Kluyveromyces lactis: one gene and its partners. The protein of the gene in region 5 interacts with the protein of the main gene of each other region in a biochemical or structural test. Links are inferred from orthologs where the notes say so. Each region holds a gene or a part of one and is shown on either strand. Other genes may lie near its edges.

Region 1 (3,672 bases), on a different chromosome or scaffold from region 5:
TGATTATTATGAAGCCCATCAGACGTTAAGAACCATTGCTAATAGATATGTGCGGGCCAAAAAGTATGATGAATCGATTGATTTGATTTCTCATGCAGCCGGTGCGTTTTTGAGGTCCAAGCAAGGTGGTTCTGGTTCAGATTTGATCTTCTATCTACTTGAAGTTTACGATTTGGCATCGGTTCCATGCAATGACTCTTCGGTCTCTAGACTCATTCAATTACTCGTCCTCGTTGACGGCCAGGAACCAAATTTAAAGGATGTAGTGACAGGGATGAACAATTGGTCTGTGAAACATAGTGAATATAAGTTTGGTGACCCATACTTACATTCAGCGATCGCTACAAAATTACTTGAAGGTGGATATACATACGAAGCGGAAAGATATCTAGTGCTAGGTACTCATGACTCGATGAAGCGGTATGTGGATCTACTTTGGGACTGGTATCAGCAATCCGGTGAGGACTCCAGTTTCCCCGATTTCATATCAAGAATGATATTCAACTATTTGTTCATCTTCAATATCGAATATGCATTGGAGGGATCTAAAGAACTTTTAAAACGGTTTACCAATCACAAGACAGATGTAAAATTTGAGTTAACAGAGAAAGGCCCATATAAGATTGATTATTTCTCATCGTGGGAATCGTTGAACTTTTTACAGTTGTTAATAATCGCATGTCAAACTCAAGAAACTATTCTTTTCCAGAATCTAAAATCACAATACTCAACTCTTGCCAACAAATACAACTCTGAGCTACAATTCTTGGGCCAAGAATACTTCGGTATCAAGGTCGAGAAACCAATCAACTTCTTGCAAGATATGATGTCTGGTTTCTTTGGAGGTAAATAATAATAGTCTTCGGTATAAACATACTCTATGTTATATATAATGCTAACTTTTCTTGATGCTACTTCTATTCAGAGCCTCAATGAGCTCTGGCCTCTTGGCACGGGTCAAGTTTTCTTTGGCCTGTTCGTAGGAGAACCATTGACGGTTTCTTGTCTTCACTTCAGGATAATTGTCCTCCAATTTAACATTAATCATCTCGAAGAAATGGAATTCGGACCTGGGAGGCCATTTGTTAACAGTTTCGTCATTCGAACTCTCGAATGCTTCCAAATCTGGGTTCCAGTCCTTTGGAGGTCTCATATCCTCAATGGAACCAAGTGCTTTCACTATATCGCCTGTGGCACCAGCTTCTTCCCAGGTCTCTCTTCTTGCAGCGGACTCAAAGTCAGGTTCATCACTTTCAATACCACCCTTTGGCAACACCCATCTCTTCTTATGAGCGGATGACTGGACCATTAAGACATTCTCTCGGCTTTCATCCAGTATTATACATCCTGCAACGAGTCTAGCACCAGTGACACTTGAATACAACTGATTCTCACGTCCTACTCTTGAGGTGTCGGTCTTGATAAAGTCTGACATCTTCGGTTCCTTAATACTATATATATAGACTGTTTCTCAGACCGATTTCATCAACAGGGTACACAAGACACATAGCTGTGACTTACCAGCTGTGGTCAGTTTGAAGGATACATGAACGTGCGGCCACGTATGAAATACACGTTGATCGGTGGTTCAATTGTGAATCTGACAGAGACTCTTGTTTCAGGGTAATTATTAAATAATACGTGTTAGGACCGAATCATTAAGCGCAACACCACAGAAGAAACAGCTGGGAAACCGTCTCTGGCAGATACGTTCTTCCATTCTCGTAGCCCTCATATGGTTAGGGCACCATGCTAGTCAGTATGGGGTTCATACTCCCACTTTTTAGCCTTGTATTTGTCCACGTTATTCGATTTAAACTCGTCTTTTCAACATGGAATGAAATCAATCGAATCAAAACCAAGTTTCCATCACTAATGAATGAAACTTCAGCAAATTAGAAAACGTATTGCCCTGTACCAAGCACTGAACGATCTTTCAGTTTTAGCAAGTGATTTACAAGGCAATAGGCACGGGCATGATTCGTTCTACGTTGATTTTCAGAGAAGATGGGTTACCATTGTGTGCCTCAGTGGATGATGACACTGATCCCAGTTTACAAGAGCAAAAGAAGAAGGTGAAGATCCTAATATCAAGATTCACTCCGACGTCAGCAAACGAGGCTACAGTGGAAAGTGGTGATTTCGAGATCCATTATATCAGATTGAACACCGTGGTCTATATTGTGGTCGCAGAAAGGAACTATCCACGTAATTTGGCATTCTCATACTTGGCAGATATACAACAAGAATTCGAACACAGTTACGGGGGACAACTCTCGAAATCGAACGTTAGACCGTATGAGTTCGTATCCTTCGACAACTTCTTACAAAAGACCAAGAAAGTTTACAACGACAAAAGAGTACAGGGGAACATGGACCAATTGAATCAGGATCTAAAAGGTGTCAAACAAATCATGACAAAAAACATCGAAGATCTATTGTACAGAGGTGATTCCTTGGATAAGATGAGTGATATGAGTGCGTCCCTAAGACAAGACGCTAAAAAGTACAGAGCCTCCGCACAAAAGATCAACTTCGACCTATTGATTAGCCAGTACGCGCCAATTGCGATCATAGCATTCTTTTTCGTATTCTTATTGTGGTGGATGTTCTTAAGATGAAGTATTCGCTGTACAGAAGTATCGATACACTTATGTACACTTAAATATGTATATAATTCCACCCTGTATAAACTTCAGCAAAAAAATGTACAAATATTGGCTCAGTATTGCTCTGAATGTGCCCTGACTAACGTATGTCTCATCATCATCAATACGCCTTTTTGCACTTGAACGATTCTTTTCTCAACATGAAAAACCTTTAAAAAGCAGATGATCTTCCTTAAGGGAAGAGGGAAATATCATGTAAGAAAGTAAAGTAAAATAGAGTTTACAAGTCGGTATACAACACGATAGATACATTGAGGTTATTGTAGTACTCGTGAATAGACAATATGGGAGACAATGATGCAGATGCCGTTGATTTCAGAGCTTTGATCGATGAGTTTCGATTTAGCAGGGTCTTGAACTCTAATCCGCAAACCAAGCAAATTTCATTATTAGGTACGATTAAGGGTCAGGATGCTATCGTGACTCTAGAGAAGACACACTTCCAGTTTGATAAAGTGGTGAACAATCCCAATTCGTCTACGTTGTCGTTGCACCAATGTGAATCTGAATATTCTTGTATGAATTCCATTCAGACGTTGAAACCAATAGCAAATAACGACATTTATTTCTGGGGGATGTCTGTGATGAAGCAGGACTTGGAGTTAAACCCCACGGCAAAGATCAACTTGATATGGCCTGCCACACAGGTTCATATCGAGAAGTACGATAAGCAGTTGTGCCATATGGTGAGGGAAACCCCAGAGATATATAAGCGTATCGTGAAGCCTTATGTGGATGATATGGTCAATAACGGTAGGTTGCAATGGGTTCAGAACATCTTGTATAACGGAGCAGAGAGTGACAGGGTCGTGTTCAAGTACTTCGACCAAGAGAGCCCCAAAGACGGCTTTGTGGTGCTCCCTGATATGAAATGGGATGGTGTCAATATGGATGCCCTTTATTTGGTTGCTATTGTACATAGGGACGATATTAAATCGTTAAGAGACTTGAGACCCGAACATCAACAATGGTTGATCGATATGAAGAATAAGATAAGATCTGT
Region 2 (3,777 bases), about 390 kb from region 5:
CTTTTAGGAATATATGGGGTTCCCGGCGTCCTGAGATTGCAAAGTTATCATACATTCAAAAAGCTTGATATGCTCTTTAGTTATGTCAATACCCGTGGTAAGTTATGGTTAGGTAAAGATGAAGAAGAACTGAAAGTGTTATTAGACGTTCCTACACCCTACTTATCTGAGTCGGAACGGTTCATAAAGTTAGAACCGGAGGAGATAAACGGCATTCAAACTTTCTTGAAATACAACCTAGCTGAGTTTCAGAAGCTGAGAAATTGTTTGATTATTTTGAAGAAACTTGCGATAGTACAACAAATCAAACACAGAGATGTCATAACGATGCGAAACTCTTTCCTATCTTTGGGGAACCAAATGTCGCAAAAAGGTGTAGCAAAAAGTTTTGAAAATACAAACTGCGCTTGGTCTTATGATCTTTCATATTATGAGTTTACTCGAAACTTGGAATATCTAGAGCACTCTGTTGTCACTTTACTTAATAACTTTGAGTCTCTTCTCGCAAAGACAACTTTATGGTGGAAACATTTTGGTGAATTAATGGAACTGAAGAAAGAGTGGAAGAAAAATTTCCCAAATGACAAGGCGCCTCCTTCTTCAGCAAACAGAAATTTTATAGATACCTACATTGAAGGTAAAAGGTCTAAATTTAGGAATAAGTTATCCAATCAACTGAAAATGAGCTCTTTGAACCTTAAGAAAATTGGCGGTGAAATCAAAACAACACATGAATCGATCGCAGTGGGGATAAATCTATTCATCGAATTCAAAGAGCAGTTTTACCACGATCATATCGTTAAATCCATAGTTGATCAAAGAATCAGGGAAAATAAACAAATCATGCAACAATTGATTGATACCATGAAAGGGCATGTTTAACTAGTCATATATAGATCAAATATATACAGTCAAAAAGGACAAGCAAAAGTTTGGGTATACTGGTTATTGCTGGCTGCCGTTGCCGCCACCAAACATGTTTTTGGCCATGTCTCTAATAGATGGGTCATTCATCATTTGACTCAAATCTGGCATGCCGCCACCAGATGAGAATTGGTTGGCCATTTGCTTCATTGCTGGATTGGACATCATATCCTGCATTAGACCTGGATTTTGCATCATCTTTTCAGCGGCTTGCATAACTTGAGGGTTGTTTAGCAGTGCTCCTAAACCACCGCCTAGACCGCCACCACCTAACAAGCTTGAAAGATCTGGTAAGCCACCAGCGCCTGCACCAGGACCTTCAGTCGCAGATTTGTCAGAAACATCTTCAGAAGAAGCGCTGGTAGAGCTCTTCTCTAAGTTCATTGAGGTTTCTACCTTCTTCTTGGCAGTTTCGTAATCTCTTTTCATAACGTCAGTAGCTTTTTCCCCTTCGATATCTAGGACCTTCTTGTAAGCATCTAAAGCTTCTTCAGGCTTATTCAAAGCATACTTCGCAAATCCAAGTCTAGAAAAACCCTTAGAATATGTAGGATCAACTTCAATAGCTTGCTCGGCGTCCTTAACGGCCTGTTCGTACTGCTTCAAAGAAGAATAAGCTGCAGCCCTGTTCGAGTAGTAAACAGCGTTAGATGGAGAAACTTCGATAGCAGCAGTGTATTTTTCAATAGCCTCATCAAATTTCTTAGCAGCCATGGCCTTGTTACCCTGTAGCTTTAATTCTTCAGCCTTGGCCTTAGCTGCTGCATCTTCAACTGGAATATGAACCTTCACTGGTTCACCAGAAACGCCTCCAGAAGAGGGAGCTGAGGCTAATAGTTCAGGTAATTTCTTGCCATTAAAAGGACCAGAGATTAAAGAATCAGTCTCATCTCTTTCAAATTGGAAGGCCTCAGTGATACAGTCGATGGCAACATTCAACGAATCAACATAGTCTTCGTTTACTGAAGAAGACGATGATGACAAAAAGTCAACAATCAAAGCAGCAATTTCCTTATTAGATAGGGACATTCGGATTTTCTAAACTTTTGACAGTGCTTTAAGATGAAATAAGGATCACAAACCGCTGTATACGATAAGATGAAGCAGTAACAAAGGACGAGTCAATGATAACTCTTCTTTGAAAGTACATAAAATCCAGGCAACTTGTCATTTAAGCACTATTATAATAAACTTTTTCCTGAATGTGAATGGCGAAAAAATGATAAGTACGGAAAAACCTTCGGTTAGAGAAGGCAACAGAAGACGAAAGATTCACAGAGACACGTCAATTTCACATCGTTAGCATTTTTAAGCTGACTCGTGCCGTCTTAATTGAGAAGTAGTGATATTTGATAGAAGCTACTAATAGTTTGGAACCATCAACCATGGAAAGGAAGTTCAAAGAGTTGCTGGCTCCTTGAAAGAAGGAAAAAGTTAATCAAAAACAAAATCTTCCCCGCCAGGACTCGAACCTGGAATCTTCTGGTTTCAGAAGTAGCTAACATCGTAGCCAGACGCCGTGACCATTGGGCCACGAGGAATAAGATTTCGTGACGGTTACTACTTTTCGTTCTATATAACAGCTACAACAGATCATATGATACTTTTAAAGTAATATTCAGACTTTACCTATTTAGTGAGTATGCCGTTACACAAATACGGTGCATCCAGCATGGAGAGTTTTACTATATTGAATTTCATTACGAAGAATTGTTTTTCTCATTTACGAGTCTTATACTGGTGCTTTTTGTCTTTGTTTATTTTTGATCGAAACTGACATTCGATATATGAATACTAATTAAAGTGTAAGTAGAATCCTAAATGATTAAACAGAGGAGTGAAATATATATCCCGGTTTTGCTCTTGCAAGGTACGCCCCGTATCATTACTGCTATTATAAATTTTAACATCTATAAATCTTGCAAAGTGCTGTTTCTCATTTCGAATAATTTATAATTGTTCCATATCCAAAATGTCACAAAACATGAGAAGCCCAAGGAACAATTGGCAAGCACCCATAAATCAGGGTATTTTGATGGCGGGGAGACGTAATAGTCTAGAAAATGAATAATCCCCATTGCAATATATGAGCCAACAATGATTAATCTCCATATTAGGCTCTTGGGTAGTAAACTTGCCCGTCTATAATCAACATCTATATCACTGATGGATGGCCCTGGTGTCAAAAATTTTGGGAGGAAGCGTGGTGTGACGAAACTGAAGTTACCGATCAACCAATTGCTAAACATGAACATGACTCCATATTGCAATACTAGATTGTCCTTTTTCAGTAATGGCCAGAGTGTAAACAATGCCACGTTGTTAATCCAACAAACCAATGATAGAACATTCCAATCTCTTGACGTGTACAAGAGTGTAATAGGAAGTAAAGGTAATAAGATTGTCTTTTCATGAACCTGGAAGCTGAATAAGAAGAATGACATCGAACATGCGGCCAAAGCATATGGTAGTAAATGTCTCTTCGGGTATAAAAATGTTATAATGAATGATGGTAAAAGCCCAATAACTGTTGCGAGTAATGAGTATAATTGAAGATCCTTCTGAGTGAATAGATTTCTATATTTGATGAAAATATTAGAAACGCACCAAAAATTCGCAACTTTATCTTCAAAGATACCCCTGGCAAATGGAAAAATCCTGTGCATTGATTGCACTAAGTTCTTGTATCCTCCAAAGATATAGATTGGACCGAAAGAACCAATGAATGCAAGAGCTGTTGAAACAGAGATCGCAAATAACCTAGGTAAGTTGATCCCTGGAGAGTATGTGGATTTACTCAATAGATAAGCAAAGAAAATTGGAGAATAATAAAGTGCCATTTGCTTAAAACAA
Region 3 (3,359 bases), about 700 kb from region 5:
GAACACTGACGACCTAAAGAAGTTAAGCCATACTCTCTATCAAACTCTGTACAAAGATTATAATACCGATCAACGCACTGAAATTAATGAGGACCATTTTATCACGACATCCATTACCCAATCACCAACGTTCTTCATATTCAAGAAATCTACGTTTACTCCGATCATATTCCCTGGATATTCAACAACTGAAACCAGAAATTTGGACTTCATCTTGGATTGGCTCACTATAAACTCTCTTCCAACTGTCACTGAGATTACATCCAAAAACTTTGAAGCATTAAAAGGATTTGAACAAGATTTCTATGACAAGTTGGTAATTCAATTGGTTAATAAGAAGAATAATAAGTTTGAAGAAGGTTCAAAGAAAATCGTCGAAGGCCTACGAGTAGCGGCACATAGTTATGAAATATTGCGTAACGAGGCGGTGTACGAAGGTCTTAAGACGGCCAGAGAAGAAAAGAAAAAACTGGTGCAAAAGCTTAAGAACAAAAACGCACCATCCGTTGATATAGTCACTGCCATGAGAAAAGAGATAAATTACAGTTATAATCACAAGGTCATATTTGCCTATTTGGACATTAATGAATCCCCTTCTCTCTTGAATAATAAAGGTCTAAATGTTTACTTCAGGAAGTTCAAGACTGGTGATATCATTGTCGTGGACAAGCAAAAAGCCATCTATTACGAAAAGGATGCTTCTGGACAATACATCACCCTAGAGACGTTGCCCGAAGTCCTCTCCATTCTGAATTTCCCCGCAAGACACCCTGATCTTCGTATTGAACGCATCTTTTTGAGAACTCCACTCAGTGGATTGCTCAGATTAATTGACTACCTCCGCGAATTTAGCGGAATCAATTACTTATTTGTTGTGGTGACATTCTTGGCGTTATGGAAAATACCCAGAACCATTCATCATTATAAACTGAAAAGACGTTACGCTGCAAAACGGGATACTCATGGTATCCTCGGGAAGGAAGCTAAGCTCATGGATTGAGGAACAGGAATTCTTCCTATAAATAATCTTATATTTCAACCTAATACTGATAGTTACGATTTATTAATATATCTTTTTAATGGTACATATAATGCGTGAAGGAATGCGTTTAACCAATACGAATTAGATATACATGCTCGATGGGATACTCTTCAGTACATGACCCTTTTGTGGTTTTTTATTTCGCTCTCGCTCTCTCAACGTATCCAGACGTAGAAGAACAAAAGTGTCAGAACACCAAATATTATGAACCATATTTTTAATGGAATGCGAGAATTCTGAGCCATCACCATCATTCTCTTGAAAGTCCTTTTCAAACGGTTGCTAGTCTGTTCAAAAACGTTTCCTAACTGATCTAAGGTCTGATTGCTACCACGAATCTCATCTCCCATTCGTAGAGATAAATTCTTTAGTGCGTTGATCTTTTCACTCATGGTATTCATTTGTTCATCACTTTGAGACTCGAGCTGCGAAAGTGTTGCTTGAGAATAATCTACCCCTGGGGATGGTCTATCAAACGGCGAACTTGGTCTATCCTGTTGTTGTTTATACTTAGAGAAGTCAGTACCCGCAAACAATTGCGTCCTACTCGCATCTCGCTGTGTCAAATCACCTTGCATTCCACTATAGTTTGAACTCATACCTTAATTATTTCTAGTGCCTCAACAATAAAATACAAAGTGTAGATTTGTCAAGATACTCAGATCTAACCATAGGGAATTAAGTGCAGTTTCACCTTGGAACTTCCTAGTCCATCTGTAAGCTACTACCAAATCGATTCGCTTAACGAAAACTTTTTGTTGAAGTTTAATCACGTGATATTGTCCTCGAAGGTTTCCCCTTCGCTCTGACAAAGGTATCATTATCATCATGAAATCCTAGTTAAGCTAAGAGTTAAATGTATTAGTCAACCTACTGTTTAAACGGCTGAGAAAAGTATTTGCAGTATACCCTTTTATAAGTATTCTGTCCACTGTGAGCATATACAGTCATATCTGCAGTGGCTGGTACGTTTAGTGTCCCAGGATCATAATCAATTGTATCTCGATGTCAGCTGAAACCGAATTATTGGGTATGCCTGAGTCCTTAAAGGACATCAAGCACATTATATTGGTCCTTTCTGGTAAAGGTGGTGTTGGTAAGTCATCTGTCACCACACAGACAGCATTAACTTTATGTTTAAAGGGATACAAAGTGGGTGTTTTAGACATTGATCTAACTGGACCGTCGTTGCCTAGAATGTTTGGTTTAGAAAATAAACAGGTTTATCAGGCTTCTAAGGGTTGGATACCCGTTAGTGTTCCTACGACATCAGGAGGGGAATTGAAACTCATGTCCTTGGGTTTTCTTTTGGATGATAGAGGTAATAGTGTGGTATGGCGTGGTCCTAAGAAAAGTGCTATGATTAAACAATTTATAAAAGATGTGGATTGGGGAGATTTGGACTATTTGATTATCGATACACCGCCCGGAACTTCGGATGAACATATATCTATCGCAGAAGAGTTGAGGTGGGCTGCACCTGATGGTGCTATTATTGTTACCACGCCTCAAGGTGTCGCTACGGCAGACGTGAGAAAGGAAATCAATTTCTGTAAGAAAGTCAACTTCAATATACTCGGTGTCATCGAGAATATGTCCGGATTTATATGTCCTCATTGTGCTGAATGTACAGATATCTTCTCTAGAGGAGGCGGTTTCAAATTAGCCAGCGAATATAACGTTCCGTACCTGGGGAATATTCCAATTGATCCGACGTTTGTCGAGTTGATTGAGAAACAGACTGGGTTCAAAGAGAGCTTAGTTGATCTCTACAAGGATTCTGGATTGTATGTCATTTTCTCAAAGATATTAGATAATGTACTGAACGGTGAAGTAAAAAGTGGAACAGATCAATAATGGGTAAATTTGACATGAAACTTTTCATAAGTCAGCCGATTTGCTCATGCCTCGAGGTCTAGTGAACGGTTCTGTGATACATATATGCTCAAGAGTTGTAGCGATTGATGGCCTTGATGTACTCCGGATTGATGACAGTGCTAATGGCGCCGAGGATATCGACTGACGGTACGATTTGGTGGTGTTTGAGTCCGCTGAATTTCCTTTGGTACTATGATAATCTTTTTTAGCATTATTTTGGCTTCCATTTGTACTTTGCCTCGAATAAGAGCTGTTCAAACTCTCGGAATTAGCTTCGTTCTGTGACTGCCCACTATTGTCCTTATTCGCTTCGGTTTCTGTCGTGTTACTACTCTCTGGGAACCTTTCTTGCAACAGCTTTGAAATTTTGCTGAATTGCGTCGCATCAACTTTTATACTACCGTTTCTAGTTACGTAGTCTAATAATTCTTCATTCACA
Region 4 (3,274 bases), on a different chromosome or scaffold from region 5:
TCATTCATTTCTCAAAGTATACTTTCTTTAACTCGGGAAACAGTTTATCATGAATCATTCTTTCCTCTTCCTCATATTATTCTTCGGTTCGATCCTATACATCTATGCAACTTTCCCAAATAAAGCATAAGAATACCAGATCGCAGTGTGATCGATATCTGTTCTTATTTCAAATGGAAAGATGGTACTGTACAGGGAATCTCCGTTTCATTATAATCTGTAAAACATACTCTCTTTTGGTCAATGATTTCAACAATAGTGGCCAACTTGCCGGCGGATTGGCCTTGTTTAACCAAAACAACACGGCCAACTTCGACCAATCTCCAGTTAGAAGCTTTAACAACAGAATCAGTGGACATCTTTCACTTGGTTCTTCTTCCGTTCTGTAAATCAAGACCAAACCTAATCTAATATAACGTAATAGTAAGTATTAAACCGTTATTATAGTATACCTTCAAATAGTGTAACAGATAAAGTAGTCAAACAATTTTGTTAAACCTTGGTTCCAAACTCAAACTTCCAACGCAGCCCTGTGTGTCTGTGCGTGTCTATCCGGTGAAGCTGGAATTCGCTATTGTCAGAATCCAGGACGCAGAGTACCTTGGAGTGCTTATTGATGAAAAAGTTGCGTGGGTAACAATGTATGTGGGCTACGGGTTTAAAATACATACCTATTCCAATTTAGGTATTATATTACAGGACGAATTCATTTTCATCCTAACACAGGCGCAACAAAATATGTAATGGTTGGGTGTTTAAAGGACATTATTGAAATATAATGAGATGTACAGGTGTATAAAAGGGCAGTCCCACGAAAATTGTTATCAATGTCCGCATGCTGATTGAATTATATATAAAGAGAGCGTATGAGATGAGGTATGCTGTTTGTATTCACACGATTAAACGGTGGTATTGTTAGACAGTTAATATTAGGATTGTGTTTCAAGTATGAAGCTTGTTCGTCACTTTAATAATAATAGTAACAGCATGAGCAGTAGCCACTGCTATTACTATACCTAGTTTTAGTGATGATTGAGATTTAGCAGCAGGAAGTATGGATTTGAGAAGAATTCTTATCATAATGTTTCGTGGTTTTGGGGTTCGCTTCTTTTCTTTTGAATGATGTTTTATAATTTGCGATCGAGGGCAAGTCATCTCGGGACATGCCTAGTTCCATTATGGGAGTCTTGTGGTATGCGAATAACTTTCGGTCTGACTATTATAGAAAAGAATCCTTTCATTACAACACATTCATTATAACTAATTCTTCTCTTTCTTTCACCTCAGCAGAGGTGAGGAGATAATTATCGTGTACTTCTGCACCTAGTCATGTTCCAATTGTGATCATACTTATATATACCACATATTTCTCAGGTATGGAGGATAAAGCGAACCATAACTATCTTTACGAGATGAAAACAGTTGCCTAACGTTGATTTCATATGAAAATTATAAAACTAACAAACACCAAGATCTACTCTGATTTCGATAATTATGGTTTTCGCTTTGTACCGTTAACAGCGTCATGTATAGTATTTGTATTCACCGTAGCTTTCTTGTACCTTTCGCTATGCTTCGCTGACTGAAATGAAATATCATTTCTAACGTGTTTTGAAGATTCAATTCCCATTATTATGAGCGATAGAATTGAAACACTGTCTGTACCTTAAAAGGCAGGATCAAAGTGCACCTCAGAGTTTATATTATAGCGAAACGTTCACATTTAGCAACTAGAACGCGATATAGAGCCACTCTTGCATAAAGTGAACTCTCACCATGTCGGATTCCAAGTACTCACAGGTGGAAAATGATGTATGTTCTACCAAAAAGACGTTTGATGGCAGAATAGGCTTGAACCTACAGGCGCAGTATCCTTACCGACTGTACGGTATGCAAGTGCCACTTTAAGATCGAAATTTACTAACGTAACGCTCAAACATTTTCTTTAGAATAATCAAAGGTTAGACGAATTGGCCAATAAACTATCTACATTCAGAAATATCAACCAAGATATTGGAAATCAAGCCGCAAATGACAGCTCCCTTATCGACAATATACAGAACTCATTCGGTCAACTTTTCCTTAATGTCAAGAACTCATCTACAAGGCTCCAGAGATCTATGAATGCCGGTAATAATATATGGCGTATGGTGGGTGTATCATTATTGTGTTTCTTCATATTGTACACGATATATAAGGTATTTTAAGAACCTTTTGCTTACTGACCGCAAGTACTCTTCTTTATAGGAAGAAGTTTGAATAAGCAGAAGATATTCGTTGTATATACACATATGTATACATTCAGGTAATGTAATGTCATAGCATCATCCTTTCATGCACCTTGAGCAGCATCTCTTCCCAATCTGTAATTACCGATCCCTTGTCCCCAGTTGATCTTGGCTCTAGTCACGGGTAATCTTCTTCTCAATCCCTTGAACTGTGTTTCATTCATGTACTGGAACTTATTGATGAGATTCTTTTCAAACTCGTTCTCAAACTGCTTGATGCTTACTATTGGTGAATCCGTCTGTGCTGATTCCAAGGAAGCAGTTGATTTGAAACGAACGTTACCGTCTTCGAAGTAATGAGCATCGACGGAGACTTCGCCAGAGATCGTATCCCCATCGACATCATACACATATTCTGATAACCAGTAACCAGTCCAGAAATCACCTAAACTTTTCTTGTTACTGACAACGATTATGGCATATTGGTCGCTCTCTGGAATCTTAAACACGTTGAACACAGCTGTATCAGGGAAGAAGTTTGAAACGTATTTAGACAATTCATCGTAAAGGTCTGATTGTACCTGAGTGGCATCTTCACTGGTATATTCCTCAATATCACTAGCTTCGCGGGTAATATGGTCTACGGCAAATAAAACCTTGTTTACTGGATCGAAATATTTACTTCCAGATTTATTGTATTCAGACACAAGATATCTCTCTTCACCCTTAGCAGCTGGCACTCTGTGCTTCTCATTGAATTCTTGGATAATTGAAGCAATCTGTTGCTTGCTTTGACCATCGCTTAACACTTGTAGATTATCGTAAACCAAAGAGATTTCCTCTGGAGGGGAATCGAATACAATATCTCTCACAATCTTCTCAAATTCAGACATAATATGATTTTCACAGTGTGAATTGATGTTCACCACAATTTACCTTAAAATGACAGGTTAATTGTCTCTAAATCCACTTCTTCACTGGTAGATTTTTGCCTATAACTGTAGTAAATTTTAACTTAAGAGTTCTTTACGATATCGTTATTCGTC
Region 5 (3,791 bases):
AAGGAAAAAAAAGAGCGTAGGAAACTGACCGATATACCTGTAGTTCCAGCTGACTCGGCTGATAGTTCAGTTGTGGGGTTGTATTATTGGGGACAAAGATTGGGAACTGATTCCAAAAAAGCCGTCACCAAGTTCCCATTGAGAGTTCCATTTTTCGATGGTATGAAACTAAGAGATGTTTGCTTAACTGATGATGGAAGTTACGGAAACCTAGCCGTAGACAAGGACGGAAATCTATTTGAGTGGGATAATAGTAAATGTAATTTACTGTTGAAAGATCAAAACTTGGTACAAATCAAAGTTTCGAACGATGTCGCTTATGGTTTGAATAAAAAAGGTGAAGTGCTAGTCATTCCTTTAAAGGATAAGAGCTTATTTTCAGATAAAATTAGTTGGTCAAGGTCACTGTTGCTTCCTTGGAAAACGTACTGCCGTTACTCTTGGAAGCTAGACACAAGATCTGCGTTCCGTTACTCTGGTGAAAAAAAAGTGATCCAATTTGACGTTGGTTCAAACCATTTGGTTCTTCTTTCGAATAAAGGGAAAGCTTATACATGCGCGACTGGTACTAAACACGTTGAAAATGAAAGATCTAAAGGACAATTCGGTATCCCAACGTTCTCGCAATTTGATCCATACCCCGAATTGAATAGGGTATACGAAATCGAACTATTAAATACCGGTATTGCTGGTGATCATGTCACATCCAGATCAATTTCCAAAATCGCATGTGGAGACTATCACACCCTTGCTTGTGACTCAGTCGGGGAACTTTATTCTTTTGGTCTAAATACTTATGGCCAACTCGGCCAAAGCATTAGCTACGATATGGAATATGTACCGTTCCCAAAGAAGGTTAGCAGCTTTAGCGGACACTTTGAGAAACATGATTTCTTGAAGTGTGTCGAAATTAATTGTTCTGGAAACACGTCCTTTGTTAGTATACTTCCACAGGATGTTCATAGATATTTCAAAAACAAGGACTTTGCAATTGATATTGACAATGACAAGGATAACATCACTTATTTTGCCTTTGGTAATGGTATCCAAGGGCAATTAGGTAATGGTCATTTCAAGCATTCGCAATCTACTCCTACTCGAATGAAGGTGATAAACGATCTCAAGGATAATACCGTAAATTCTGATAAGCGCATCTTGATCAGAGATTGGTATTGTGGAGAGCAGCATGCTTTTGTAAGATTAAAGAATGGTGAGATTATGTGCTGGGGTTATAATGAAAATGGCCAACTTGGTAATGGGAAGAAGATCAAATGGGACAAACCAGCTTACATTCCTAGATTGTTAGAACCAGGTGAAAGGTTCAACGGCAAGAACCTAGACATATTGTACGACGAAAATAATAAACTAGTTATTTCAGACGAACAGAGTCTAAGAGCTGGTAAGGAAGCATCTTGTTTATTCTGGAAGGCATAGCGAGTGACTCTCATTAGACCTGATTTTTAAAATCTTGTAAATACATCCTCTTCTCAGTATACGTTACTACGTTTTCATGAGAACATATTACGTCTTTATTTTTATAATGGTGGTAGTTACAAAGAAAGTCTATATTTATTAATATATCTCCGAGTTACTTTGATAAATCTTTATTACAAACATTGATCAGCCGAACCATTTTAGGACGAAATAAATTCCTAAGATTAACAATAGGAGACCAATGTAAAAAATGAGTTTGTCCTTGAACAACCTCTTATTAATCTTTTCGATTGTTTCATTTGATACTCCGAGTACGTGTAGAGATTTTGTCATCTGAGACTGCAATCTCTGAAGGACCCTGTTCTGTTCCATGATATCTTCCAAAGATTCCTGTCCCATCTGTAATATTCTGTCCAAGTGCGCGTTGCCTCTCTCAAAGATCGAGTTCTCTTTCCTCAATCCTTCATATAGTGGTAAACCAGCCGCCGAATTGATAGTCATTCTTTCACTGTTCTGATCTAAGGCGCCTATTCCGAAAGATGTTTGCGGAGGAGCATTGATGTTCCTTTTATTCATCACGGTCTCTTCCACCATTGATGCTTGCTGGTTGAACAACTGATCTCTCGCATTAATTTCTGAGTATTTTTGCTTCAATTCGGTAAATTTCTCTTTTGCATCTTCGTAATCCTGTGTTAAGGTCTGAAGTCTCGTCTCATACTTTAGTTTAGTTTCGTCGTTGTCATCTGAACTATTTATTTGATATTGCTTGTATTGTTCCTTGTACTGATGAAGCGTTTTCTCGAAAGAAACAAGGGTTGTGGCGATCGCCCCTTGCAAAGAGATCGGCGCTGTTACGAGCTCTTTCTCAAATTTACCCAAGTCTTTATTTAGAAGACTTCGCTGCTTGATGGCATGATTATACAACGCGTTCTAGTGATATCGTGGGAAACAATAATTAAGGTAAGTTAGTAAATAAGTAACACATACGCGACGCGTGTCTATAAATGTAGAAATACAATTAGAGCAGCGCTCCAGCGAAACATACCATCTTAGCCCTGTTGTGATCGCAAAAATTCTTGATCGCTAATGAAGATCCAAAAGATTCAAGAAAGGAATACTCTTGAGAAATACAGGAAAATGCTGAGTCAAACGTTGAGCGTCAATCGTCAATTCTGATCGATCTGAATTATCCCAATGCGTATGAATGTTCCATAAACTTTCTTAGTTTCCAGTGGTTCCACTGCTCACAGACGCAATCCTTGTTTAGAAGTTATTTACTGCTACTCAAGTATGACTGCTAAATTGTTGCTGGTTCAATATTATTAGTGGTTCACATTAAAAAAAAAATTAAAGATGCTGGTTTTGAGTCTCACATATATCTATATATAAAGATAGTTTAACAGCGAACCATATCCAGCATAGAGCGGTTGCATACGCACCTAAGTAATCGAATCAGAGTCTCTTCATATCAAATTCCTTCTTGACGATAGTGAGGTTACTGGAAACTGGTTTCAACCTACTCTGCTTTTTGCTTCATTATAAGTTGCCAGATTTTCAGTCCGTTTTGTTTTAGACAGAAAAAGGGATATCATCGGTATAGTATACATTCTATACCATCTTTGCTACTTTTCATTTAGATCTCATCAACACACCGATACATCTGAAAACAATATCAATAGCTTTCAATTGGTAATACTAGAGTTTATCCTCTTTTTTTTTTGCATTCTACGCATTACACTCTTATTTCCATAATAATGACCCCAGCTACCCCTCCAAGTTCTAGGAATAAGAGATCAAATAAGACAGATTTGCTGCTCGCAACTCCAGAGCGAGCCGCGGAATCTGATTCCTCTGGCATGGTTACTCCGGGGACAGTTAGAGTAAAGGATAGATTGCAGCCACCTACTAGACCCATGAATTTAACAAGTCCATGCCCGGCATTAAAGACACCTGAATATACCCCACATAAGAACAAACATACGAAACGCAGGATAGAGTTTGACCAGGAGAAGTTACAACCTGTCAGTAGGGTCTTGTTCGGATCGGATTTCCAAGTAGAAGAAACTTCAAACAACAGGACTTTGCTACCACCAAAGAGAACCGGTATAATGGAGTCTTTCAAAGGCGTTCAAAGTTATAATATCAATGATGAGTATGCTGTCAATAACAAATTCAAACTTGCTAAACAAGAGCCAGGAACTCCAAGTGACAAGATCACCACCTTTGAACTTGCTAGAAAATGGCATAACGAGTCTGGTCTGAATACATCGCAATCAGAAAACGAAGAAGAAAATATTCATATTGAACAACAACCTACGGCAGTCAACCAACATAGTAATTTAGAGAATCCATTTCTT
Region 6 (3,952 bases), on a different chromosome or scaffold from region 5:
GATTATTGAAGGAGGATTTTTATTCTTCGCTTATTTGGTTTTGTTGTGATTACAAGGCTTCCCTTTATTTTGTTGTTTTAGATTTTAGAGAATCAATCATAAATAGGAAAAATGTGAAGCTTCATGCAAGTGCTTGAGATGGAATTAAAAGAACGTAACATGTCACGCAGATCTTAGTGAGCTTGTGACATGGAACTGCCGTTGCTAGATAAATTGAAAGTTAGGGATTTGGTTGATAAGAGATTTTCGCATCTTTTCGAAACGGTCTCACTTCTGTCTGGAGATAATGAGGAAGATAACGAAGACCAACTACGACTTAAAAACAGCATAAAGAATCTAAGGGAACATCTTACGGAAAAGGAAGAGGAAATAAGGCAACTACATGATGTTATTAGTGTAAAAAATCGAGATGCTGAGCGTTTGAATGACGAATTGATCAGCATCAACATAGAAAACAATCTTTTACAGGAAAGGTTGACACACATTCAAGCAGAATATGACACCTTGATTGAACGATGGTTACTAAAAGCACAAAGAGAGGCCGATATCATGAATACGAGACTTAAATAGATATGACATACTCTATATGCCTCAAGTTATAAATGAGTTGCGAGTTTTATAAGTGATTTGAAGTTAATTCCCTGCGACTCAATGGTACATCAAATCCCAAGTGCATGAAACTCTTTAAAAATTCAGTTTTCCAAGAAATTTGCTTCAGTAGCTCAGTCGGAAGAGCGTCAGTCTCATAATCTGAAGGTCGAGAGTTCGAACCTCCCCTGGAGCATTTCAATTTACCAAAATTTTTTTAGCTTTCGGATCTTTTCGTTTACTATCACGAAGCCTGAAGTAATAATGTTTTCATGTTGCAACTAAAGTAGATGTTTAATGCTACATTATAGAGGCTAATTCGATGCAATGATTCAATTTAGAATCTGCTCTGCAATTATTTAGTGTACAAATAATAAAAAATTATAGATTGGCCGTGTAATGCTAGGTATCAATGATTCATATTTATCTTCCTTTCAGTCTTGTTGTTCCAATTCATAAATCACTTTGCTGTCTGCAACTGGATCGTATGGTTTTCTCAAGAATTGGGAGAATTTTTTCAAGTTGTTTAAACCTCTAATTTCACCTGCACACAATGGCATCTTAACGATATGGAAATCTTCGTACAATTCATCAATTTGGTCCAAATACTTCTTTTGCATCTTCCATCTGGATTGGCACCTTTTACAGCTGTCTCCTTCGTCATACTCAGCAAATAATAACTGGTTTACAATGATGGAGTTCACGTCCATATCGTATGAGATCAATTCCTGTACCAATCTTTCAGTTTCGTACAAAGACAAGAACTCACTGATACAAACACAGACAAAAGTTGTCATATCAGGATTGGTGAATTGTTCCTTGATTTTTTCCACATTAGACTTCAATTCACTCATTTTACCAACAAGATCGACGTTATTGGCACCAGCCAAAGAATTCAACATTGGTCCCAATCTTGCAGTGATTTCTCCGAATTTCTCCAAGAGTTTAGATAGAGTGCTTGGTAACTGTAAAAACCTTAGAGTGTGACCTGTTGGTGCGGTATCAAAAATAACGGTATCATACCTGTCACCTTCACCCTGTTCTTGGTTTTTGATGTGTTTCATCACTTCCATGAAAGAAAGTGCCTCATCAATACCTGGAATCGATCCTGTCAATTCAGATAGTGCACCACCTTGCAAAAGATCACTGAACTCTCCCGATCCAGTTGCATTATTGGCAACAGCCATATCATTCATATCCTTCAAAGCGGCAGAAGGGTCAATCTCCATACATGACAAGTTGTTCATCCCAGTGACTTTTCTTGCATCTTTACCAAACTTCTCACCGAAGGCGTCGCTTAAATTGTGTGCAGGATCTGTAGAAATCAATAGATATTGTTTCTCTGGTTGTGCCAAAGCCATTTGAATGGCAATCGAACAAGATGACGTCGTCTTACCGACACCACCCTTACCACCGACAAATATCCATCTGTGTGTTGAGGAAGTTATCAAAGAGTTTAGATCTGGTTCAACTGTTAAATCCATTGTACTTTTCCGCTTTACTTGGTCTCAGGTTTACACACTTACTGATTGTTATTCCTACAGTTGAAATAAGAGGGCGTCTTAGTTGTAAAACTTCTGTTTATCTACGCATGTCGCCACTAAAAGTGACAACAAATGCTAAATATCTTGCTGAAGACTTCTTCTACGTTCTTTTAAAGAACACGTCACTATATACGGTGGTGATAATAATTTGATATTTACCAATCGCATACCGAATAATAAAGAACATGGTACAAATACTTTGAGTTTGCTTCTCAAAAAGTCTTGAATCTTGTTCTCTTTCGAACCTAAATGGCTTTGAAACATTGTGAAATTAAACGATATTATTTGATCGATGTTTGCCTCAATGATGGTGATTCCTTTCTTATTAAATATGTGTGAACCATAACGACACGTTTAGATCAAAAAAAAAAGTTGCCCCATATGAAATAAGAATTTACATGGTGAATGCCAAATCTGAAACAATTGCGAGCTAAATATTAAAACCAATTGGCGTCTTCAATGCAAGTGAGTACACACATTCGAACAGTTGATTATGTCTGAACTATCCCCCGAGGAAGAAAGAGCCAGAAAGCTCGAAGAAGCCAAGATAAGGGTTGAAGAGTTAAAGAAGAAGAATAAAAACAAGAAGAATAAGAAGAAGAAGGACAAGGAAGATCTTGAAGCAGCTGAAGTCAAAACTGAAACTGAAACTGAATTGGAACCGACTGATACTAATGTATCAGAGAGTCCGGTTCATTCAGATGAACAACCAATCGTGGAAGAGACAAAAGCTGAAGAAAAGGCTGAGATAAATGCTGATGCAAAGGGCAATGACAACAACGAAGAGAAGTTTGAAAAGGAGTCTGTGGAGAAGTCTGAAAAAGAGTCTGCGGAGAACAAGAAAGACTCCGAGGAGGAAGTCCTCGAGAAGGAAGCAACTGATATACCCAACCCAACCGAGGAAGTGTCTAAAGAAGCTTTTGCAGTTCAACAAAAAGAGGAAGAACCAATAGAGGCAAAAAGTACAGATGAAGTTGAAGAATTGTTTGGCGGGAATGATGATAAAGAGAAAGATTTCCTTTCGACGATACAAGAACAGAAAAGCCAAGATGAAGTAATAAACCTCAAGGAAGAAGTTTCAAAGCTAAAAGATCAAGTAAAGCAATTGAAGTTTGTCAACATAGATCAAGAAAGCTCCATAGAAGAGCTTGAAGAACAGATAAACATCATGAAATCTCAACTCAATGATAAAACTGTACAATTGCTGTCCGCTCAGCAGGAGCTATCTACGTCTAGACAAGAAGTAGAGCAGCTTAGAGCAACACAATCACCACAACTAACCCCTGTGGAATTCTCTTCCTTTGATAGACATTCTCCATCCAAATTCGAGCCATCGAGACAGATTCAGCATCCAACGACAGACCCTGTTATGTTAGCTAAGTGGAAGAACTGGAATGTCGATATGACAAATTGGAGATCAGTTGGTGTTGGCCCAGTTGTGGAATTTTAAGTAAGTTTCAGCCTTGTTACTATTACCACAGAGCTATGATTTTTTTATGATTTGTCTCATTTGTCTCGTTTAGGCAAATATAATGCTATAATGTACAAGTATACAATTATATTAGTGTATGTATAAAACTGATATTTGACACGATTGATGATTGTCGCTAAAAGGAAAATCGCACTGATTGAATGTTACTATATACATGGAATATGAGGTGGATTTCCTTTTGATGATATTGGAAGTTTCGATGGTCCATCACACATGTTGATGAAATATTCTGCACTTTGTTTTTGATTATATGACTAATGGTCTTTATTGCTGGGAATTTTACTGATGATTCACCTAATTCTGCATAGCACTTCACCACCGACTTTCT

The links.
Region 1: the proteins of BOS1 (region 5) and SEC22 form a complex in vitro, tested with the Saccharomyces cerevisiae proteins (3 studies listed by BioGRID). The link is inferred for Kluyveromyces lactis from reciprocal best matches to the Saccharomyces cerevisiae genes BOS1 and SEC22.
Region 2: the proteins of BOS1 (region 5) and SGT2 form a complex in vitro, tested with the Saccharomyces cerevisiae proteins (4 studies listed by BioGRID). The link is inferred for Kluyveromyces lactis from reciprocal best matches to the Saccharomyces cerevisiae genes BOS1 and SGT2.
Region 3: the proteins of BOS1 (region 5) and BET1 form a complex in vitro, tested with the Saccharomyces cerevisiae proteins (2 studies listed by BioGRID). The link is inferred for Kluyveromyces lactis from reciprocal best matches to the Saccharomyces cerevisiae genes BOS1 and BET1.
Region 4: the proteins of BOS1 (region 5) and SFT1 form a complex in vitro, tested with the Saccharomyces cerevisiae proteins (2 studies listed by BioGRID). The link is inferred for Kluyveromyces lactis from reciprocal best matches to the Saccharomyces cerevisiae genes BOS1 and SFT1.
Region 6: the proteins of BOS1 (region 5) and GET3 form a complex in vitro, tested with the Saccharomyces cerevisiae proteins (2 studies listed by BioGRID, with this or other methods). The link is inferred for Kluyveromyces lactis from reciprocal best matches to the Saccharomyces cerevisiae genes BOS1 and GET3.

What each region holds. Positions count from the first base shown.
Region 1 is NC_006042.1:1,884,677-1,888,348, reverse strand, and holds SEC22 (SNAP receptor SEC22), read left to right. Parts: upstream 1-1,976; coding exon 1,977-2,621; downstream 2,622-3,672. Other genes in the region: protein GET4, read left to right, coding at 1-853; polyphosphatase DDP1, read right to left, coding at 896-1,435; KLLA0_F20229g (uncharacterized protein), read left to right, coding at 2,954-3,672. UniProt on the Saccharomyces cerevisiae protein: Nonessential SNARE involved in targeting and fusion of ER-derived transport vesicles with the Golgi complex as well as Golgi-derived retrograde transport vesicles with the ER.
Region 2 is NC_006040.1:103,902-107,678, forward strand, and holds SGT2 (Sgt2p), read right to left. Parts: upstream 1,954-3,777; coding exon 946-1,953; downstream 1-945. Other genes in the region: KLLA0_D01133g (uncharacterized protein), read left to right, coding at 1-882; ALG6 (dolichyl-P-Glc:Man(9)GlcNAc(2)-PP-dolichol alpha-1,3-glucosyltransferase), read right to left, coding at 2,835-3,777. UniProt on the Saccharomyces cerevisiae protein: Co-chaperone that binds to the molecular chaperone Hsp70 (SSA1 and SSA2). Regulates Hsp70 ATPase activity. Required for recovery from heat shock.
Region 3 is NC_006040.1:1,198,611-1,201,969, reverse strand, and holds BET1 (Bet1p), read right to left. Parts: upstream 1,642-3,359; coding exon 1,198-1,641; downstream 1-1,197. Other genes in the region: protein disulfide isomerase EPS1, read left to right, coding at 1-1,000; iron-sulfur cluster assembly protein CFD1, read left to right, coding at 2,048-2,899; VAB2 (Vab2p), read right to left, coding at 2,924-3,359. UniProt on the Saccharomyces cerevisiae protein: SNARE required for targeting and fusion of ER-derived transport vesicles with the Golgi complex.
Region 4 is NC_006038.1:1,175,323-1,178,596, forward strand, and holds SFT1 (Sft1p), read left to right. Parts: upstream 1-1,776; coding exon 1,777-1,812; intron 1,813-1,949; coding exon 1,950-2,207; downstream 2,208-3,274. Other genes in the region: RPL14A (60S ribosomal protein eL14), read right to left, coding at 231-359; CAP1 (Cap1p), read right to left, coding at 2,333-3,121. UniProt on the Saccharomyces cerevisiae protein: Vesicle SNARE required for retrograde transport within the Golgi complex.
Region 5 is NC_006040.1:495,159-498,949, forward strand, and holds BOS1 (Bos1p), read right to left. Parts: upstream 2,483-3,791; coding exon 2,480-2,482; intron 2,365-2,479; coding exon 1,621-2,364; downstream 1-1,620. Other genes in the region: FMP25 (Fmp25p), read left to right, coding at 1-1,434; cyclin-dependent protein serine/threonine kinase inhibiting protein SIC1, read left to right, coding at 3,189-3,791.
Region 6 is NC_006041.1:142,887-146,838, reverse strand, and holds GET3 (guanine nucleotide exchange factor GET3), read right to left. Parts: upstream 2,073-3,952; coding exon 1,023-2,072; downstream 1-1,022. Other genes in the region: ATG16 (Atg16p), read left to right, coding at 190-570; BUG1 (Bug1p), read left to right, coding at 2,626-3,582; MRPS8 (mitochondrial 37S ribosomal protein uS8m), read right to left, coding at 3,915-3,952. UniProt on the Saccharomyces cerevisiae protein: ATPase required for the post-translational delivery of tail-anchored (TA) proteins to the endoplasmic reticulum. Recognizes and selectively binds the transmembrane domain of TA proteins in the cytosol.